2 linked regions of the Styela clava genome follow. The protein of the gene in region 2 binds, or shares a complex with, the protein of the main gene of each other region. Links are inferred from orthologs where the notes say so. Each region holds a gene or a part of one and is shown on either strand. Other genes may lie near its edges. The genes, in order: exosome complex component RRP40-like and exosome complex component 10-like.

Region 1 (11,593 bases), on a different chromosome or scaffold from region 2:
AATAATCAGTTCCATGCAGGCAAGCAATTTTACTGATGTCGTAATCAATCGCATGAAATTAAACCCATACCATGTAGGTTGACAAACTGTGATTCAATTTTTTTATTTTATTGGAAAACATACATTTTAAAAAAATATCATGAATAATTGTAAAAAGCGATTTCGCTTGATTTTATGAAAACAATGCAGCTGTCGTTGAAAAATCCAAAAATTTGTTTGGAAATCAAAACTTAGATTCAAACCAAGGCACATTCTAATTCAAAATTTCACAAACTAGATATTTCAAAATGGATTGCCTGATTATTGTAAATGTATTAGAAAAAATTCCTTTGTTCCATGGCGCAAATATTGAATATTTTAAGTTGAATAAAAATGTACTGCTTTTCTGCCACGAGGAAAAGATTTACAGTGGTTATATTTTTGAACCAAGTACTGGCTTAGAAATCATTTAGATGTATTTTATAGTACCATTTCCCCCAACCATATACAAGCAAAGCTGTTATTGTATAATTAATGCTTCAATTAGGAAACATATAATATGTGCAAATAAAATCGGATTACATTTGTTATATTTTTGAACCAAATACTGGCTTAGATGTATTTTATAGTACCATTTCCACCATCCATAATGTAAGCAAGGCTGTTATTTGTAGAATTATTGCTCCAATTAGGAAACATCATATAATAATATGTGCAAATAAAATCAGACACACTCAAGAAGCCATTTCTTTTTTATAAACATTATCGAGAAAATTTTTCACTTCAGTATGGAATAGGATTAAATCATCCAAATAAGCAGGGTGCATGCCATTTGGGACCTCCACTATCCTACTACCAGGAATATGGGCCATGAGATTACTAGTTTTAGCACCATGCTCATCTAATGATCCATAGTAAATCAGAGCAGGAATGTGTAGTTGTTCATATTCTTCTTTCTTGTAATGATTACCATTAATTGGTGCAATCGGTACAATGCCACGTAGTTCTGCTCTATGTTTAAACATGAATGGCAAAGCATATCTGCCACTCATGGAAGGACAAATAATAACAGGCCTGTCTGTTTGAGGTAATGCTTTAATTAACTTTGACAAAAAAGCATCTTCATGATCTATGCGTTTGTCTGCTTTTGTCTTTCCGAAACCAGGAAGATCAACAGCAATAGGAAAGTAACCAGATTTCGCAAGAAACTGTAACGTTCCTAGTGACTTCCATGTGTTTGCTTCATAGGCCGCACCATGTAATAATAACACTGCAAACCTTGGTGGTGGCTGATTCTTTACCGTACTCATTGCATATGAATAAAACACATTGATTCCATCAATTAAAACAAAATCTTCAACATATTCAACGTCAAGTCCTATTTCTGGATCGACTTCGTCCTTTTCATTATCAGCCAACTCAGGTCCTAATTTATCAAGTTTCTGTTTTGCTTTGATCATCGATAGTGCATCCACTTGAACTGAGAAACAATAGAAAAAATAGTTTTGAATTTACACTTATTGTGGTCAAAACGGGGCCAACTAAGTTGGCATTGCAGCTTACACATCTTTGGTTTAAAACCTTTGCCCACATACCTACCGAGCGTGTGATAAGTTAGGTAGGTAATGTTGATCCAGAATGAATTATGTTCTTTCAAAAATGAAGGTTCATACATAACAGGGGCTGATTATAGAGGGCCTTGTTGGAGCAAATAGGCCTGAAATAAGTGTCATACATAATGTTATGTCATTAAAGATAAGAATTCAGTGACAATTTTTGTCAAAGATATAGATCTTTCAGGTTAAATATTTTTACACCTGATTTCTTGCTGTCTGATTCATTCTGGACAAACAACAATACAAATTTTGTATAGGTTACTTATAAATGTATTGTGGATGACCTAAACCAATATATAATAAATCTTACTTGCTGAATCGCTTTGAATTTCATCACTGTTGGAGTATAAAATATAACATATACTTGAGAGGATTAATAAAGTCAATACCACTCCTCGTTTATTTACCTCCGCACTCATGGTTGCGTTGTTTATTTTACAATATGCCAAGCATTTATATTTAAACACCTGAATTACATCTTGAAAGTGAAAAATAAGACAGTTAACCTAGAAATATTGACAGTGTTAAAAAAGGCGCATTTACCTCTTATGGGAGAAAGAATTTTGCATGACCTTAAAGAATATTAAAAGCCAATTATAAGAACATAATCAGCTTTCAAGGTTACAAAGGGTATTTTTTATTCAAAAATCAGCAAAACAGTTACTTAGACTGTTAGGAGTGTTGCAATACGCATGAGTTGTTTGATGTTTTTGTTATTCTATGGATAACCCTGTTGTTCAGATAATATCTGAAAAAATGGAATATTTCAATTATATGACTATGAACTTATAATGGGTACATTCTCACTAACACCTAATTTTAGCTTCTTGATTGAAACTTGAGGGCAGTCAAACCACGACATCAACCTTTTCAAAGAGAATTCGCAAATTGAATATGATTGATTATCTGTTATTTATCCAATCAGGAAGCTAAATATAACACCCTATTCATAAACAACATATCTATCCATGTAAGGTATCTCGAAAAGAATTCTAAAACAGGTTCTGAACATAATTACTGTAGTTTAAGAGACATTGGTATGCCCACACAAATTAGCAATAACAACAAGAATTAATTAAAAAATTCCCGCAGGATGGTAATGTTGTTTAACAACAGGTATACATGTAACATGATACAAAGCATGAAACGATGAAATAAATATTAGCATCACAACAAGCATGTAAAATAGGTGCAACATGCATATGCTATAATACAGAGAATTTAGCTTTTAAAAAAATTCTTTCTCCTTGATTATCGCATTCTCAATTGTATGTTTTTTTTACAGTTCCTGTATGCAAGCATCTCAATGTTCCATTACATGGAGATCGTACATGCAAAATGATTGATTTACCAAGAGGAAGAGCTCTTCGTTGTACCACTCAATGTGACAATGGATATAAACTTGTTGGCAGTTCGTACAACACTTGCATGGAAAAGGGAATTTGGTCGGGCCAGCCTGCTGTTTGCAAAGGTAATTAAACTTACTGAATTTTTTCATGTATGTTTGTCCAAACTAATAAGCTTTTAACTAAAAGTGAAAAAGTATTGACAGAAAATCCATAATGACCACTGATGTTATAAGAGCCCTACATAGGTTTATCCCAGAAACAGAGCATATTTGCATAAATAGAACAAATTTGCCATTATATTAACCACACTGACAATGAAAAGTTGCCGTGACTTTACTCTGCCTTGGCTATGATATGATTATGTAAAGATTGGTTATATAACCAACTCGTATGTAAGATGAATGCTTGAAACTACTTAAATATGACATTGGATATTTGAACACAATGACAATACTCCAGTTCAATCAGCATTATTAATTGTCATTCTTTATTGTCACCAGTTACTTTGTAGAAAAAGGCTCGTTTCTCATTTTGTTAACGAGTATTTAAGCAGTTTGCCAGTTGTCTGCTGTATTTGAACTTAGTGATTCTAGAATTTGTTCATTTGTCATATATTCAGCTGTTGTTATCATATTCATTATAGCAATAATATGTTTATCACTGTGGCTTGTTAGGTGAATTTTACCATTCATTCCTATTAGGGTCTCAAAACCAAAATATTTCCCCATTTCTGGCAACAAAACACAATCAGGGGATAAGATTTTCCTAACTAGATTAAGTGGAACTGTTATCAACAATCCATTAGAAGGTACAGGACCCATTCCATTTGCTTTTCCTGAGCTTTGATCAATGCAACTCAATTCCGGCTCCATGTCTTTGTTTGCAGATATTAGTTTTCCAAATACTATATCTCCATTTACAAGATTCGGTCGATTTCGTTTCGTAGCACCCTCAAAAAATAAATTATTAAGAACGACATAGTCGCTACTTCCAATGTCTACTTTGTAAGCATCACCAATTTTACCAACAATAACCCCCAAAACGTTTTCACCCTTAATTGGAACATAACGTTTCTGATGACTGTCTATCCAAAACATGCTAGGCTGTTTGTGTCGTAGAATCCCAGACTTACAAACGACAATACTGTCATTCCCTTGTCTAAGACCAGGTCCGAGTTTTACTCTTTCATTTTTGCCGATTAAATCCAATACTTGTTCTGTTATGATGTCACCAGGCATGACAACACTTGCATCTAACTCTTTGGCTGGACATTTCATTTTTAACAGTGAACTTAAATTAGGCTAGGTAAGAATAATACTATATGGAAGGAAGAAAATTGGTGTTAATAAAACCAAAGATCAAACGGGTAAGAACAATGTGGTCCGGAATAATCGGTCCGATTTAAAAAAAAAAATGAATCTTTGCTATTTCGACTAGGTGATTATACAATTTTATGAGTGGTCTTCTGGTTTAATAATGCACAAAATTTTGCCTTTTTCATCTAATATTGAAAATGTATATTAATTTCATTGACTCTTGTTCAGAATATATCAAATGGTATATAATACAGTAATATTTCTTTCAAATTTTAATTGAAAAAAATACCTAGTCCAGAAGTTTCCAAACGTTTTGTTTGTGAGACGCCAAATTATCAGGGACAAAACTTACGGCACGCTCTCACGAAAAAAAAATGCTGCCTTTGATAAAACTCAATTTTGTAATAGTTAATGTCTACTTTATGCCTTTAAACTTTGTAAAATGGTAGGCATGAGGAATAAAGGCAAAAAGTCAACTCTTCTTCTTCAGCTCTGCCTGATTTTTTTTTAAAAAAGTTTAAAAATCTCTCATGTTCGCTAAACTCAGTTCAGCAGATCAAAAAAAACTAAAGCTCGTGAAATTGCATGTCTATTGTTATGTAACAATAGAGGCAGACACTACTTAACAGAAAGTAAATAACATAGAAACTTGTAAAATGATTTTATTGATTCAGATACACAGCATTTAAAATAGGAAACAATGGAACATTTATAATAAATTTACTATGTAAAATGGCCGTGGTTCGCCATATGGATAAGCCATCTCATCGCCCTTCCTCTCCCCCGGGATAAATATGTAAATCCTATCCTAAAATATTCAATCATATATTAGTTATGTTTAACACAATTCTGTTAATTTTTAATTATTGTATGACAGTGATGAATATGGGCAATAAGCCACAACAGACTAAAATAGAGCTGGTGTAATATAGAACCATACATTTATACAATCCTATCAGCATATGATAAGAGTACTTACAGACTTAAGAGTACCGGTACAGTTGAGATAATACTGCTTACAACATCTGGTCTGGCGTTATTACTCAACAATTTGATAAAATCCCACAAACTATTATATGCTTAATACTGAACATAATTTTTAATTTCTGAAATACATAAATACACCTTCAGACCTTATAATACAGCAAAATATTACTGACATATCAGTTTGGCATAAAATAGAGACTTTTCATCTCTGCAGAAATACCTTTATGTAAAGCCCCCGCGGCTAAAACTATATTCTGTGTTATTTGATATGTAGCCACGATTTTACCAGTAGATTAACTTCACATATATCTACATACATTACAGCCTGTGTAGCTGATAAAACCGACCGCTTTTCCCAGCGTCTAACAACGTTATACGTTTACTGAACAGCCGAGTATCTTCGATAACTATTGTAAATAATAACGACTCGCTTCGCTTCGACAAACATTAATTGTGCCAATGCGGTGGCGCAGAACAACCACGTGTGTGCGAAGCCACGCCTTTTGATGACTTGCTGGTACTGTTTGCGGTCGATGTTGATCTACCTTACCGCGTATTGCGTGTTTTACCGTATAATGTTTTTGTTGGATTTAATAAAACGCTTTCCTAATTTTCGTTACGAATGAAAATATTTTTTGTCAATTGTTAACCGATGCTGATGTTTATTACGTCAAGACGATCAATTGCTGAATTTTTGTGAGATACACACAATTTAAACTAAAATGAGGATTATTTATTACTTAATTTTTATTCGCTGCTATGTAATAGAACAATAATAGATAAAAATAACAGAAGTTTTGTTCACACCTCAGATTACTCTAATTTGTGTCTCTTTGTAGCAGCAATTCTCATACTCATTGGTGGGGCGATACTCCAATGAAACGTTCCAGAACCCATGTGAAATAGTTTTATTGTCAGGATTGCATTAACTTATATATATATATATATCAGTGGCGGCGCGTCAATAGAGCCAACCGGGGCAATGCCGCAATGCCCCGGTTGTTTTTTCGGTATAATAAAAAATATTCGAAAAATACCTCAATATCGGTTGCACAGACTGTCTACACTAGCCATATTCTCCCGACATGGTTCATTTTTCGCTCGCAAAGCCTTCGCCGAACGTCGACGGGGCGACTCCGATTTTGCCCGGGTTGCTCATTGTATATCGTATTCTCTCTTTTATCTTTCACTCGCCGCGTTTGTCTCGTTTGTTTTCTGTTTCTTTTACTAAATCATCGGGGCTAGCCCCGAAATTATGACGACACAATGCCGACGTTCTTACAACAACGTGTTGACATATTCACGCATTCCTTCTCGTTCGTTGGTTGCTTGAAGAGTTGATAGTTTCCTCGCCTTCGTTTTTGTCGCTTGTTTCGCTATTTGAATCAGTTAGAGACCTTGAGTCCATTTGCTTTCGATTTTCCACATTCCTTTTGAGCTCCTCACTTCTTTCCGGCTTCGCATTTCTTAGCCTTAGACCTCATAATGAAAAAGGTTGATGCACTACTTCGCACTCCGTTTTCGCAGCTGCCGCTGGAACAAAAATTAGAGGTACAACGTCTTGGGCCTTATCAACCAAAAAATTGTTCACTGGAACAATCCCATGACGGAGGAAAGCGTCGGCGTACATTCTGCGCAGAAACTTGGTATAAAAAACACGAATGGTTGTGTTACAGCGAGGACAAAAATGCACTTTTTTGTTTTTATTGCCTACTTTTTGCTACCGCCCGTGACTCACGTTGGTGTAAATTTGGTTTTGGAGATCTTAAACATCTTTCCGAGCGTGCCAGGGATCATCAATCTTCTATGGAGCATCTGGACAATGCAGTAAAATACCGAACATTCGGAAATGTTAATATTGCAGCACAGTTGGATGAAGGACGCGCGGTTTCTATTCGTCGGCACAACCAAAACGTCGAGAAAAACCGCCATGTTCTCGGTCGATTGATAGATGTTTTGAAGTTCATTGGTTGTCACGAGCTGTCCCTCCGTGGGCACGATGATGGGTATTTTTGGATAAAATAAACTATGTTTATATTTATTAATCCCTTGACTTGGACCGGTTTTAAAGACACTTTCTTATCGTTAAAAATTGTCGCTTTTGCCGATTGGTTGTTACCGATGGAATGATTTTTATACTCATAAAATGATAAGAGAACTTACAGCGCTCATCCTGCCCCCGTAGATGGGGGTGACTTGGTCCCGCAGTAGCTTGCCCCGGTTGTCAAAATGACCACGCGCCGCCACTGATATATATATATATATACCGTATATGCAGAAGCAAACCTAATATTGACAAAAATAAAAGATCTATAATGAAAAGTGTAGCAAGTTTGATAAAAGTGGCAAAACTAATAGGCATTTTATTTAATCTGAACGATATATATATATATATACAATGAAAATAGACTCGGAAACTCGCGGAACCCCTGGAATGTACTTTCAAGTCAACCCCAGTTGGAAAGCGCTAGTCTATAGTTTGTTTAATTAGTTTAATTTAGCATTGCATTTGGCATCATCTCGAACAGATTTTTTTTGTAATCTGTGCCACGATGAACATTACTTCAAACTACGAAAGAATTGAATTTTTCACGATCCAATGTCCTATAAACTGCTTTCTATATCACCGCCTCGGTCGAAGAAAATTCTTGTTTACATTTCCTCTTAAAGATGCATACTAGTCTACAATAATCAATCATTATTCTTTGACTCATTACAGCGGCGTCAACTCGCCAGACAAAGAAGATTCGGTTTAAATTCCGGGAACATCAAACACTACCTTGCGGAGAAGTCTACGGCCTCGCATCCTTCCGTAAAAATGGAGTCGTTTATCTAGTTGCTGGCGACAAGGTATGAAGAAACGTCTGAGTAATTCGACCCCCTTATATTACAATCGAGTTGTCATTGACAGCTCAGACTATTGTCAATGTTTTTGAAAGACATTTGTTTATTCCATACATAGCTCGGTCATCAATATACTTATATAGGCTAATCTATAGTCATCTTGACATCCTTAACAAATTTTATTATTGGACACAAAATGGGCCTATAGATCGTTTTGGTATTTTTGTTGTTATGAAAAAAATCGCTTTTCTCTCCAATTACTGAACGAATTCAGTGGTTAAAGATTGTATTTGTTGTAAGAAGGCTATCAGTCTTATTTATTTCACAAGGTTCTGTGAGCCCTTTGTGATTCTTTTTTTGTGTGGTGTGTGTGTGTGTGTGATGACGTCATTAAAATTAAAAATTGCGCATCTTGTGGCGGTTCCGCGTTCGCATTGGTAGCTTTCTGAAGACTGTGGTACCGGTAGTCTGCTGCTATTATTACGTATCGATTTTAATCGCTAAGTATGTTGATAGGTATTTGTTTGTCTGTCTGTCTGTTAGATGCACGCGATATCTCACGAAAGCGAGATTGAATCTGCTCCAGATTTTGCATGTGCATTCATCATATGTCGTACCAGAAGCTTATTGATTTTGGATGAATTATGTCGTATTATTAGCGACTTATTAATTAATTAGTGATCGAACACAAGGTGTAACTATGGAGTAAGAGCGCTGTTTTGGGGAATCGCCTAACTTTCGATCGATAAGTCTTCGGTCTCTGACCGATATTCTCGTTTTCGTAAATTTACCTCTTCCCCACTGGTTCAGGTCTGACTACTTGGGTCGTGCTTTTGTCTTACGATTGCTTCCACCTTCATCTGCATCTTTTCTTTACAGAGTGGAAACGAAGTCAAAATATTTCGATGGGGAGACGAAGGCTTCGTCGACACTCCTTTTCAGACTTTCCACTATTCATCACCTGAAATCGTCGAAATTCTTACTGCCCCAGACGGTAGAGTTTGGTTGATGGTCGGAGGTGCTGGACCGGTTACCATGTTCAGGTAAATGGAAGATGTTACATATAAAATTTTTGAGTGTGCCCAGGTCATTGAGATTCAATCGCAACAATACATAGAATATGAGGAGTGATTTTTCCTGGCGATGGAAGTGCTGTCTCGTTAACGAAATATTTTACATTCGACAACAAATGTTTATCGCAATATTCCATAAATACAAGTCTAAATTGGAATGGTAATAAATTGTCCCTACGAACGGATGTATTTATATATACAGCGTGTCCATGAATTCCCTTTACAGTTTCAATTTTGGTATAAAGTCAGTAATCAATATATCTTAACTAGGTTTGTTTGTTTTTTAATCAGTAATTATTTAAGTATTTTTACTTCATTCAATACATCTGTGAGGGCCAGAACAATCTATGGTATCGATTACTTCACTTTGCAATTTGAAACAATGAAGACTTTATGGTCACCCTTTATATATATACGAGAAAAATCTTGCCTAAAATTGTTACAGTTTTCCTGCGATGGAGCATTTGACCGTGGAAAAATACTAAAATATAGTACTTGTATATATAATATCTTGTAACTTTCCAATTCGTATGTTTGATAAATATTTTCTGTTTTTCGTGCTCTCCTACTTAGACTCGGCGAAGATAACAGATTCAGACGTTCACACACAACGCAATTGTTTGACCAAACAAGACACGGCGATACGATTGGCTTCGCCGAATTGCAAGGAGAATTTTATAGATGCTACGGTAGAAATAGAAGAGAAACTCCTGTGATTGTTGTTCATAAACTTCAAGATAAGCCAACACCTGGTATGTAGATTAAAAATAGAAGGTTTGAGTGATGTTAAGATTAGTGGAGACATTGTCACGAAAGTGAAACCATCTGCAAAATAGGACAGACAATTCACTCGAAATTTACCAAAACGATATATATATATATTATACGTATCCAAATTCGATTTTGCTCAAAGCAAGTTGACGCGCGCCTAGAGTTACAGGTGAGTGACTACCAAAAAGCCGCGAAATACTCACTATTGATTTTAATATACTTATTACAATGTGCATACAAGTATGACTATATAAAAACATCCATCTAAATGAGATTAATGGGAACATTTTTTGACAAAAAAATTTCTTCGTTTGTAGAACAAACAGACAGTAAATGGATGAGAGCTCGGTGCCAACCGAGTATGGCGGCTGAAAATATTTCTTAGAGGACAAGAGGATTGCCGGACACATACCGTCATATTGTGCTTTACGTAACCGCTGGTCTATTTAATCTTCCCCCGCCATTAACTCCATGCATCTGAAATACATGACTGTTTTCTTTGACGCCACTGGATTGATTCTGTGTTTTGGATTGATTGAGACTTTAGTGTAATGTATTTTCTTTTTTCTATAGGTGGTGGCGACGTCTTCCGACGTATTATGAGGAAAAAGTTGCCCGGAGAAAGAGTCCACCAGTGTTCTATGTATACAGAGGGTAATTCTCTTTATACAGTCGCCACTCTCAATAAACCAGATGGACAGGGTCGTATCATGATTGGACATTTGACCAGAAACAGAATGAAAATCGTTGATGTAATTTCAGGAAAACAACTGAAAGAAGTTTCAGACAGTTTTGGATTCACCATAGATGGTGGTCGTTACATCGCAGTGTCACAGTCGACGGAAAATGGCAAATGTCTTATTTATAAGCGACAATGGCGCAATTCAAAGCCCGTCGAAACTGGTTAAGGCTTCTCATAAAAAGTGACGCATAGTGACGTTAACTTACGCATGATTTACGCAGGAGTTTGCGTGGCCCAGCCGCATCAGTACAAGAAGTTCTTAATCTGCAGACAGAGCGGGGGCCAAAAATAGACATTAGGTTCAGCGACCCTTTGAACATTGTGTATCACGACAACGTTCCGGTTTCTTTGAAAACTACCTTCAAATTTGCACGATTCATTGATACCTCAAAATTGCTTCACATTGCCTTAAAGCTTGGTGCACACATGGAAATTTGGATGCCGTATTATTCAAATTTTTATTTGAGTACGTTCCATTCTTTGCCGATGCATTTTATTCTTTCAAGTCATAGATGCCTCAAAACTTACCTATTATTTGAAATACAATTTACAAAATATTTGTCACATTTATAAGTGACATATCGCGGTATGATTCCGGGTACTCTGTATAAACAAGCTTATATTTCGCATTCCATATCAGAGCAATGTTTCTTATAGTAAACATACTAACTTTTTACGTCCATAATTCACACGATTTTTGTAAATTTTTTAACCTAAAGTGTAAATTATTATTACTATTTTTACTAGTGTGTTATTTTTTTCTTACTTGCCAATTACCCTATATACCTACCTACACATTCGAGTTCATATTCATAAGGTTGAAATTGAGGGCTTTCCATTCACTTGCAGGTGATCGAAGTACAATCCAATTATATTCATTGGTTTACCAATATTTCGAAATTTCATCCAATTAATT
Region 2 (12,028 bases):
TTGAATTTTTTCATTAGCGCATAAATTTCCCAACATTCGACGCTTTTAAAAATTACGCTCCAGTTATACGTAGTGCAAATTATTGATATTGTCTACGGACACCAATAAAATTTATATGGACGTGTGTATTTCTTGTCTAACTTGATACTTACCAATTTTTATGAAGTTCGTACAATCAGAACATCGTTAATTATTACCCACAATGAACCACTGTCAAACTATCATGCACAACTCCAGCGTTTATTTGCGACGATCTTTCGGCGGTGTCAATGACTGTTGCCAGAATAAAATCCTGAAATTATCTCAATATACCATAGATGTGACGCACATCGAAAGATTAGTGATTGATATGTGTTATTTTTCCATATTTAGTACAGTTCTTATCAAAAAAGTAAGACAATCATTATGGAAAAAATTGGCTGTCGGGCAGTACTAAAATTCCGATATCTCCGTTATTTCTTGACCGTTTATTCCAAACTTGGTATTGTTTTCTATTTTTACTCAGATCTTTCCACTGGAGCAGTTTTTATTTAAATCGGATGAACTTCCATTTTTTTGTAACATACCTACATGAATATCCGCATTAAAGCAGTACAAAAGTTAGTGTGGCTTTTGAAATTGGAGCAGTACGCGAGGGATTACAGTACTGTTAGCACAAAATGCACATTCGACGTTTATTTTAGCACGAAAAACAAACAGTTTCGTCGAAAGCAAGCGCCACGAGTGTACAAGTGTATCGCAGAAAACGTTACGTACTGGTAGCATTCAAAGTCGCAAAAACGAAGTTTTGTTTACAACCACAACTGAAAATCTGTCAGGGTGACAAAAGTGTCTGAGCGGATGCGGAAAGGCCTATTATTACGTCACTTTTCTGCATCTTGCCGATTGGCCAATGTTACGAAATAAACAAGGACGACGATGCTCGTGAAAATCTTCCTTGGAAAAAAATTTAGCCATTTTTGCGTGTTATTGCGGACCGGATAAAATGACGGCCGTAGTTTGGTGACCCCTGATCTAACATACCATTAATTATTTTATAATTTTCATATATATATATATATAAAAATACAGCTCGTTTGTTATCTTATTCTATAACGGTACGCCTTAACATTTTGTGCAATATCAATTTAGGCATTGCCATATTTTCATCTTCGATGAATTGTGGGCTTGCTATAACCTTCGATTAAAATCATGCTTGTTAAAGTCCAGAGGCTGTATTTCTGCCCGTCTTGAAGTTACGAGAAAAGCATATTTACATAACACTTTGTTTTTCACATACATGCATTTCGGTATTGATTCATCATGAAATAGAATGATTTGTTTGATTGATTGCTGTTTAAACAATTGAATGAGATGGTTCCATAATATGTATTTATGTCTTGACTAGTAGAAAGGATATTGAGTTTGTCATCAGTGCTAAAAAAGATTGTCTGTAATGGAATCTGGGCCTGGCTTCCTTGAGAATGGCTGATAAGATGGATCAAATATACCTTGAGCTTTGTCTATCGTAAATGTCGTGAAAAAAATAATCATGGGTTACAGACAGTGTTCCCTCTAAGGTGTGCGCGTGCACACAGCTTACAGAGGCTGCGCACACGCATAGATTTACTGCGCACAGACGTATTTCGATGTAATGTAACAAATGCTCGGTTGGCAGGTTGAGAAAGTTTGTTGTTGGCCCACTTATTACCCGGTTAGAACGCCAAAATTTCTTTATTGGTTTTTGCACAAATATTAGTGATTTCCAAAAAAATGCGCACACCAAAAATAATTTCTGCGCACATATACTACAAAAAATTAGAAGGAACATTGGTTACAGCTGCTGGACTCGGCTTGAAAGCAGGTATTCGTCTTATACGCCCACAAGCAAACAAATTTCGAATCCAGATGGGGTTGTAGTTTGCTGCATAGTTAAACTGCTTCCTGAATAATTAATTACTTAACGTTATCTTATATTGCAATTCCGGATTCGAATACAGGCCCAACATCAGTAATACCTAATTCCATTAGGATTCTATACTCTGAACAAGGCTCTTGACAAGCTGACACTAAACACATGGATCTCTATTTTTTGGTAGATGTGGGAGCATGGAGCGAGACCAACAAACAACAGCGCTCCAGAACTATGTGTACCAATATGGAGGAAATAATTTTGTTCGTCTACTTTACATCAAGTCGTGTAAAGAGACTGAACCCCTATGGGCAGGGTGGATATTCACTTGGATAACAAAGACAGTCCCGAACTAAAATAAAGAAAATTGAGGCCTAATCCGGTACACATACTACGGGAGTATCCAAACAAAACCTCGACTTTACCATAGGTTATCCAGCTTCGTGTCCCTTAGCCCCTGCGTCATACCCCATGACTCGCCAAGACAAAAATTAATGTCTATCAGAAAACCCCCCTTATCCTGATATCCAAAACTACACAATACCAACAGGGTATGTTAATACTTTGCCATACTATCCACAATGCGACATGAAGGAAAAATTGTAAATATTTCCTTTATATTTGGCCAAAAAGACAGTGAATTTCATTAAATGAACTAAATCAGTGCATGCAAAAATTTTGGCAGTCGAGAAGAGTAGGTGAATCCAAATTAAAATTTTTTGAACAGAGAAATATCTGTACCACTTATTATCTTCCAGACGGATCTGATATAGCATCTCTCCATATTCACTACTATTCAGCACATTACGGACAGCTGTGAATTACATTAATTCCATAATAGAATATGACAGTAGGTTGATAATGTCCGAAAATGTCATTTTTTATGATAATGGAATCTTTTATAATGCTCTTGGGTATATTCAAATGGTTGTATATCCGAATTTACTGCAAGTTTCTTCGCTTTCTTTTTGGCATGTCTCGACATCTTTTTATCTTGATTTGGTTGTGGGTGACGCTTCTGTCCATGAACTTGTGGTAAATTACTTAATATAATAACATCTTCTTCTTGTTGCTTTTGTTTTTGTACAACTTTCTTCTCTTCTGCTTGCTCTTGTTTATCACCATGAAGATTTTTCAATTTCCAAGCATATTCAAGACTCAGCATTGTTTTCAAGCTCACATCGTCAAGAGATGTTATACATTTTGTTGGTGCGTTTGGCAAATCATTTTTAGGGGGAAAATACTTTGAAAATGGATCCCAATTTGCTTCTTGCATATGACTGGTTGGATTACTAGATTGACCTGTAAGTAATGGTTGAGGACGACCGTCGTTACAGAGAAATGACGATTGTGGAGCAGTCGATACTTGCGGCGGTTTATGTTTAGTGTTTGGTGTAGAAAGATCAAAATTAGATAAGTCATGTGGGCAAGTCAATATATCATCATAAGCATCTTCATCAGGTTTTGCTGGAACGGGTACTTCAGTCGGTGTGCTGATATGTGATGCATCTGTCTTCTTACCAGAGCCTTTTGCTCTTGCTTCCAAAACTAACTGATGAATTGCATGAACATGTTGACGGACAAGAGGTGGTACTGGATTGCAACATGCAAGTACTCCTTGTGCCTCTCTGGGCATGATTTCAGCAATTTGAAAAAGCATATGATTAGGTAAAACGTAACCAGGGCTTTCATCCTCTTGTCTTGCCATCGTGTCTCTCCACTCAAAAAGCAATTTCAGAAGTTCAAGTTGCTTGTTATTAAGTTGTTTTCTGCTTTTCCGTCTCTCATATAATTTAAGATGTGATGTAGGCGTAAGTAGAAACTTCTCATATTTTCGTAGGCAAACATCACGACTTCTATATAGAGTATTGAGGAGTCTTGTGGTACCAGTACCAGAAGCTTGACCTGTGGCACCCAAGTCCAGAAGTTCATTTTTCATTATATCATACACATATAACAAATAATGAGTATCCTCTTGCGCATACTTTCTCATTTCCTCTGGTATCGGCCGGATTCTCCAATCCGCAAGTTGATATTTTTTATCTGCATGAACATCACAATACTTTTGCAACAAATAATCAAGAGAAAAATGCCCTAAACACATTTCTCTTGCGGCCTGACCAGTATCAAACATGTTAACAACATACACTCCAAAATCGCGCTGCAACCAATGCACATCAAAATCAGCACCATGAAATACTTTTACAATATTAGGATTTGTAAATACTTCATTGAATCTGTGAATTTCTGATCGTAGTTCTAATGTATCGATCAAAAAGTCTTTTGATCTCGACGATATTTGCATGAGACAGGTTATACCTTGGAAAGATCGATAGGAATGATGTTCCAGATCAACTGCAAATTCAGGGCAAGTTTTCAAGTGCTCAATAACATCGAGCAGTTCATTTAAATTCGTGATAACCTCGCATGGCTCTGATGGGAAAGGATCATATTTTTGTGGTTCGACTCTTTGAAGCTGCTTGTTTAAAAATTTCAAATTTGCAAGCTCCGTTTCATATGGGTGACCATATATATTTTGATCTTCTGCGTTATATTCTCTACCTTGTCTTACCAAATTGACAATGGCAAGTGAAACACCACCATCAGATGATTGTGAATGTAAATTTACTAAAGCTTTCGGTAACTGTTTCACAGCATTTGGTTTCTCTGTAATTTTTGGAACAAAAGGTAGATTACTGTTGTCAATTTTATCTTTGAATTTCGTTTGTGGCCTCATAATATTATGTGCATGGAATAATTTGAAAGTTTGTTGTTTGCCATATTTATTTTCTCTGTTCCATGACGAAACAATCGGCTTAGTTTTCGTAATGAAAACTAGAGGTTGCTGAATAACGACATCAGTATCTGGTTGTGAATTGTCCTTTTTCGGTGCAGTAGCTTGTTCTAATAATGTGGATATTTGTTCCAACATCATGTCATTTGCTTCAACAATACGATCGTAATGATCATCTACATCAACATTACCACTACTCGTTTGTCCATCAGTTTGTGGCAAAGTCTTTATTCCTTGATGATGTAGAAATGAGTTGATGTTTGATAAAATCCTTGAACCTTGTTTGTTATAGAATGCGCGAAAACCAGGAAAGCTGCTGTACAAGTCGAAATCATCTGAAGAGTGAGGCAAACTACTACTTGCTTTGATAGTTGTCATTAAAGCACTCAATACTTTTTTTGAATATTCATCAACATCACCCAAACTACCACTGGCAAAACCTTTATCAGAATTAGCATCCATTATTCTGTTATTCCTTTTAATGTTTGAAATACTGAAATAAAAAACGTATAATCAGTTACAGGCTCAATATATTTGAAGTATAGATCTACTGGTATCTGTGTACAGGTGTACGCTCAGACTGTGGTTGATTCAAGTCCGTACTGTGTACCCGTACCGTGACTTTCCTGACTCCTGCAATGCCTGACTGCAGGAAAATCTCATATCACAGTATCAGCATATCTGTGTCAGTCTGAACCGGTTAACGTTCCACCGTTTGATAGGATAGTGGATACAATACAGATAAAGATATGAATGTATGTTGTGGTTAACAGTAAAACCGTACCGTATGTCAGTACAGCAGTATGTAGCAAAATCAATTTAGCCTACAGATTCACCCAAGCCCAAGATATTCTGATATTTATTGCAGTCACTGAGCAAAGCGAATTATTCGGCTATTCTGACATTAGGCTATTAGAAAAATTATCTTCCTAACTTAGCAAGTGTGCGCTACTCTAGTTTAGAGATGCTGATTTTGAAAACGTCTCGAAGTAAAAAAATAAATAGAAAAAATCGCCAACCCGGGTAAATTACAGAATTATGAAAACATGCTCCTGCAACAAAACCAGAAATTCTCGGCAACATTACCTTTCGACCAATAGACTCAAGCACGTGCCGTTCACGAAACCGACGTCATGCCTTTTAATCTTAATCCTGCGGTAAGTACATTATGAGTTTATTTTGACTTAGTTGGAACATATATTATTAGAAGTATATGTAGAGGCTATTTGCAAAAGCATTTATTATAATTAGTGAACTGTACCAGTACCACATTTGTAAATATGAAGGGTTAGTTGGAGGCAACTCGGCAGATCTTTCATATGATAGCGAAAGTGAGGCACATACACACCGGTAAAGCAAACATTTTCACAATCAATTGATAATCATTTATTTATCAACACAATATAAGAACATTATGAGAAACATTGAATATAAAAAATCACGGTAACTAATTTTAATTGTGGGACAGATTTCGCGAGGACCCTCGTATTGCCTTCAAGCAGCGGCACTATCATTACTTCCAGTCAACACAAACTCAGGATCAGGAATCAGGATTAAAATTTTATGTTTAGATATACTTTGTGGCTGTTGAGGGGTAATATGATTAAATATAATTAATATAGTGCTCTGCCTAAAATGACCTTCCTCTCGTTTTCGAAATGCGCTCACGATTGGGATTCACTCGTGAGGAGAATTCCCCGGATGGCTTCAACACAATGGTATGGTAGATATTCAATGGCCTACGAATGGTTTGTTTGATAGCCTCAACGGTTGGCGAGAGGATTGGCGGAATCCTCACCATCGTAGGGTGGTCCTCATCCACTATCAACGCATCTTAAAAAGTTAATAGTAAACTATTTTTGTACCTGACATAGACTCGTGAACGAGCAAGTGGGCGTGGTTCGTCATATGATTTTTGGTTGAGTTGTCTTATCGGCTTTCCTCAGCTCCTGAATAAGTATGAAAGCCCTACCTAATGCAAAAATGTCTGAATGAAACGGGAGAACTTTTCAGTTGAAAACGCTAGGTTCAAAAGAATTTGAAAACAATTAACATGACTGCCAGATTTTATATAAAACCTGCTTTTATTTCTTTTTATTAAGGTGTGACTGCTCGTAATTTTTCGTTTTTAAAGTCTAGTCTAGTTTTCAGCAATCAGCAGTACTCCAAAAAGTCAAATTGTTTTGTGCTGTTTGTGCCAATTTTCTATGTATGGTGTGATTTCGAGTTCAAAAATAAACTATTGGTATATTGGGTCTGTCGCTGATTAAACTGTTTTATGATTCCAGTTGTAATAAAGTAAATAGAAATAAAGCATGAAAAGATAAGCAATGGAAAAATAACCTAAAAGGTCGCGATCAAGTCTATAAAATTACACAGAAATGTGCAAAATATGGACACTCGTAGATTTGATTAGGAGGCAGAGTTGGTTAAATATATGCGTCTGATAACATCACTGCTTTCTGAGGTGTATGTTGCTGTAATATATTATATTACTATATTTCCACTGTTCATCGACACTTTTGGTTTCTTAATGAAGTGCGTTGTCATCGTGAAATTGTTGCCACTTGAGGTCATTTTTGTAAAATTGTTCTAGTTGTTCACGGACTAGTTTTGCATGACCTTTGTTCCTGGTTTCGATGGTGCAGGTAATTGCCGCCATGTAGACGTGAGAAGGCAAAGACATTCTGTCGTGACCAATGTCTTTGATGCTGTAATGTTATGATATATGGACAGTGATTAAATCATTAAAACAAATAAACATCATGCAGCCTCCCTATATAGAATATTATAAATATACATATGCCAATCATGAAATCTTTAGATCCCATCATTCAATCGCTGGCTCAGGGGTGGACTATATATAATTATGATAATTCTCAGTTTATAATTAAAATGGATTTTAATGAATATATATATCAGAGCGTATAGTACCCGACTCTGTTAGCATTTGAAGATCATCCCTCATCATTCCCATTATCCGTACAATAAACAATAGTGGCTATTCGGCCAGACGCTATTTGGTCGTGGTGAAAATGCACTATACACCTCGAGTACCAATGTGACAACCGTTTCAAGTAAATGACATTCACATTCCACTCGAGCCCTATATATATATATATATTTATTTCTTCGAAGATAACATAAGAATCGTTTGCTCCTTCTCAAATTTGCGCACGGATCATAAAATAATATTCCAAAATCAATGCGCCATAACAATCTGTATACGCCTACTTACCTTGCTCCTAAATCAGACAACATATCTGTAAGTCTTGCCAAACCGCCAGGTCGGTCAGTCACAGCCACTAAAAATCGTGATAGCCTTCCCTCTTGTACTAATGCTCGATCTATGACATGTGTCAAGATGTTTGCATCTATATTGCCTCCACTTAATATGCATACAACTCTATGGGAAAGAAAAGGACAAATTCAGTTCGCAATTAGCACAAGTTTCGCTATCGTTAGATTTCAGGTTAATGACAAGCAAACTACTAACGCCACTGTGCAGTACTATACATATTATTAAATGAAACAATAAACACAATGAAGAATTTACTGACACATTGCACCGAAACTCACTTTTTGCCCTTTACTTCAGGTAGTTTATCGGAAAGCAATGCTGCATATCCGATTGCACCTGCTCCTTCCACCACCGATTTTTCTCCTTCCAATAAATGTAGTATGGCTGTAGTAATATACTTTTCTGGAACTGATATGAGCTTATCAATTTGTGCCGTTGCAAATGAGTTATATCCAACCTGTACAAATATTTTCAATTGCGATATTTATAAGATTCGGAAAAAGACTCAATTATTTGTGAGGCATCAATAACGACTAAAGGCATGAGTATGCCTTTTGCTAAATTCAGATATAACACACTTTTCTTATAGCCAGACAAGCGTATAACATAATTTCCTGAAGGAAATTGTTCTGAAACAATGATTTTCAGACACTCGCGCGTGAATGAATAAATGGGGAACACGGAAACTTGTGACGAAAAACCACCGGCAGACAATTCAAAGCTGAGGCACAGCACCGAAAGACGCTTAACATGATACCACTTACTCTCAAAACGTTTAATCCGTCTGCAATCGATTGCGTAGCTCCATTCATAGTACTGCAACATCTGACTGGTCGTCTGTGCTCATTGGCCGTGTGCCACCCTGGACATCGTTCTGATTCGACGCCCTTAAAATTTGAAACTTTTTATCAAGGATTTAGCGCGGCGACGACTAACCAAACATTAATTAAATGCCTGAAGAGAACAATTTCCTGCACTTGTTCATTGCATAAATAGATTTAATATAATACGAATTTGATTCAGTTAGATTTTAAACTTACAATGATCTTGACATTCGGGTTTATATATTTTGCCGCAACCGAGACTCCGGATATCAATCCACCACCACCTATCTGAACAACAATATAGTCTGCATCGGGTACGTCTTCCATAATCTCAATGCCTGCTGTCCCTTGACCAGCCAACACATCAGGATGATCGAATCTTGAAAAAAAGTATATTAAAAATGATAAAATCTCGGCGGGAAATGACGGTTATAGTATCGGTATAAATAATTCAATATTAGGTGAATATACAAGGCAGTGGACGATAATGGGCAGTAGGCTGAATTATTTGGACATTTACTAGACTATTGAGCAGTTAGAGTTAAGAGCGTTAATCAACATTAGCTTATGGTTTGGTACAGTAACGTAAATATGCAGTTTCTATCCTCATTTCAACCTCACGAACATGAGAGACCCTAATTAGACTATCAAAACATCAATGAAGATGTGGCTTCAAAGTAGTGGTATTGAGGTATACCCATCAATATAGACAAGATTTCTCTCATTTCGAAGCGTGAGAGCGCGAAATTTTGCTTCGTCAAATCTGTCTCCGTGAAGAATAACATTTGCTTCCAGGTCTTTGCAGCTATTAATCTTTGAAACAGAAAATAAAAATACTAAAAGAGCGGAAATGATAAAAAATCCAACAGAACAGCATTTATCGAGAAAGATATCGCGCAAGATAAATAAATCACTCTACATTTGTATGAATGGGGCTGTTCAAATTCAGAATACTATACTATCAAACATCTATAGCTGAGGAATTCGTGCAAGATTCAATTGTTCAAGTAATAGCGTGATGTGATTCAAGACGTATAAACGTTTGTTGATCAATAAGCTCGGTTCGAATTTCCAGTGAACTTCCGATTCCCTCTCAAGTAGTCATATAGCTATAGAAAAACTCACGTCCAAATCTGGCGAAGTTTAAATTATCCTCAAAACTGAACCTACTTTCACTAATGGTGTCGTCTTTGGCATGACCACTGTAACCGGTATACCAAGTTTTCCACCTTGATATGCCACAGATTGAGCGTGGTTACCGGCGGAGGTTGTGATTACGCCAAGCTTTCTTTGCTCTTCCGTTAAATTCATCAAGGAATTCAATGCGCCTCTATCTTTGAAACTAGAGAAAAAAAGATAAAATTATAATTACCAAATTCATTATTCAATAAAAATCATTCATGATTGAGTCAAAATAGTTAATGGTGAGTTAATGGTGGATACTCCTCTTTTGGAAAAAGTTAGGTGACTACTATAATGCAATGAGATACTGAAATCATTTATATATAGTGGTACTATAAGTTTCAGAAGGTAAGTAAAACAAATTATATTGTTAACAAGAGAGCTCGAACATATGGACACGATTTGGTATGCAATCTCACGGTAGCCTACCGGTACCGTATCGCAGCTGAGCAGCGAATTTGAACTTACGCGAAAGTGGAACCGCCACAAGAAGCGCAGCTTTTAATTTTGACGAAGTCATCACACAAAAAACAAATCCCATAGAGCCACAGAACTTTTTAAAATAAATAAAAGTAATAGCCTTCTAGCGAAAAATAAATCTTAAACCACTGAGCAAAGCAAGTCACGCGCGCACACTCAAGAGTACTGATACCCTCATCTCTGAGAAAAAGTGACTACTGAAATGATATGAGATACTAAAATTATGTACAATTATCGCAGTGCTTATCGCGCGTTAGTAATTGACGATTGGCACGAGACGTGAAGCAAAAGCTTGAAGTCAAAACATCAGGTATAAAACACAGAAGGAAAAAATTTAAATTAGAACCAACTCTGACTTGCCTTCCAGTGAATTGCATGAACTCTTTCTTGAAGTAAACGTTGCATCCTATACGATCCGATAGTCTGGTTCTCTGTTAATTAATTAATCAATTAATATGATTCTGTTAAAAAACAACACCATAGCTAATTTGAGATTGGTAATATACAATTCAAAACAAACCAATTAAGTATTATGGTTCTAACCGTACATGGAGTTCGTACCACTCCATCTTTTATTTTATCTCGGGCATCAAGTATTCTTCCAGGCGTCACTATCACTGGATTGTCTTTGTTGCAGTATGGATCTGCTAACTCTGGTATATAATCGGTATCAAGGACTTCATCCATTGATATTGTCTCGATTTCAACGTTCCTGTCAAACGAAAAGGCGTAATTGAACTTACTGTTGTGTCCAATATTTTTTTGTCATTTCTATTATAGTCGCTTTATATTCTCTTGCACCTTTTCGAGGCAACGTTTAGACTCCGTGCAACTTGGGTCCTGCGACCGAAGTACTATAACAGTTTCAAAAACTATGTTATGACTGTAATTCTACATGACCCTACCTACCGCTACCAGTCTATGTCAAATAGAGATGGGGATTGCACATTCAAATAAACTACAAAATTGAAGTTATAAAAAAAAATACCGATGCAAATCAATACGAGTTATTATAGAGATAAACAACGATTTGCATCGATTAATTTAATAATCTAATAAGAGAAACGAGCATTTTTAATCGATATTCGATTCGGAGGTATTACCACATCGTGAGCTTCACTATGGCTCGAGGTCTCTGTCAGAGCTCTGGTAAAACTGCTTATGCAACATTTAAAATTGTCTTCGATCGATGTTAGCTACCGCAGACCGAGGAGAAATCTGTGACTGCACTTGGGTGAGCAACATATGGCGGAATACTCCACGCTTTAGTAGCCACAAACACGGTTATTGTCGAGGTAGATAGCTGTATGATGGCAAACGCGCTTGTTTTGGAGTGAGATGATGGCGAAAAAATTTCTGCCGTGGCGTAGGGGATTTTTGACTCGATGGAATAATGGGTGGAATACCACAAGTACGCGTAACAGGTTTTGTGAGCTGAACCCTAGTTTGCTGAAAAGTGCGAGTCTTACAAACTATTACAGTACATTTGATGTATCAATGTAATGTTGACATTTTCAACGGTTGTGAACATTATCACGAAATCAGTATCAATATAG

Evidence for each region.
Region 1: exosome complex component 10-like (region 2) and exosome complex component RRP40-like share a complex: the UniProt entries of both Drosophila melanogaster proteins name them as parts of the RNA exosome complex. The link is inferred for Styela clava from reciprocal best matches to the Drosophila melanogaster genes Rrp6 and Rrp40.

The regions. Positions count from the first base shown.
Region 1 is NC_135256.1:11,219,022-11,230,614, reverse strand, and holds exosome complex component RRP40-like, read right to left. Parts: upstream 4,258-11,593; 5' UTR 4,222-4,257; coding exon 3,490-4,221; 3' UTR 3,067-3,489; coding exon of another isoform or gene 2,881-3,066; 3' UTR 2,073-2,880; downstream 1-2,072. Other genes in the region: putative protein-lysine deacylase ABHD14B, read right to left, coding at 714-1,459, 1,906-2,014; uncharacterized protein LOC120328953, read left to right, coding at 2,881-3,066, 7,967-8,097, 8,971-9,134, 9,738-9,916, 10,509-10,843. UniProt on the Drosophila melanogaster protein: Non-catalytic component of the RNA exosome complex which has 3'->5' exoribonuclease activity and participates in a multitude of cellular RNA processing and degradation events.
Region 2 is NC_135262.1:8,878,748-8,890,775, forward strand, and holds exosome complex component 10-like, read right to left. Parts: upstream 5,203-12,028; 5' UTR 5,148-5,202; coding exon 2,766-5,147; 3' UTR 2,492-2,765; downstream 1-2,491. Other genes in the region: L-threonine ammonia-lyase-like, read right to left, coding at 7,216-7,396, 7,924-8,091, 8,265-8,443, 8,751-8,873, 9,027-9,189, 9,508-9,623, 9,981-10,152, 10,833-10,903 and 1 more. UniProt on the Drosophila melanogaster protein: Catalytic component of the RNA exosome complex which has 3'->5' exoribonuclease activity and participates in a multitude of cellular RNA processing and degradation events.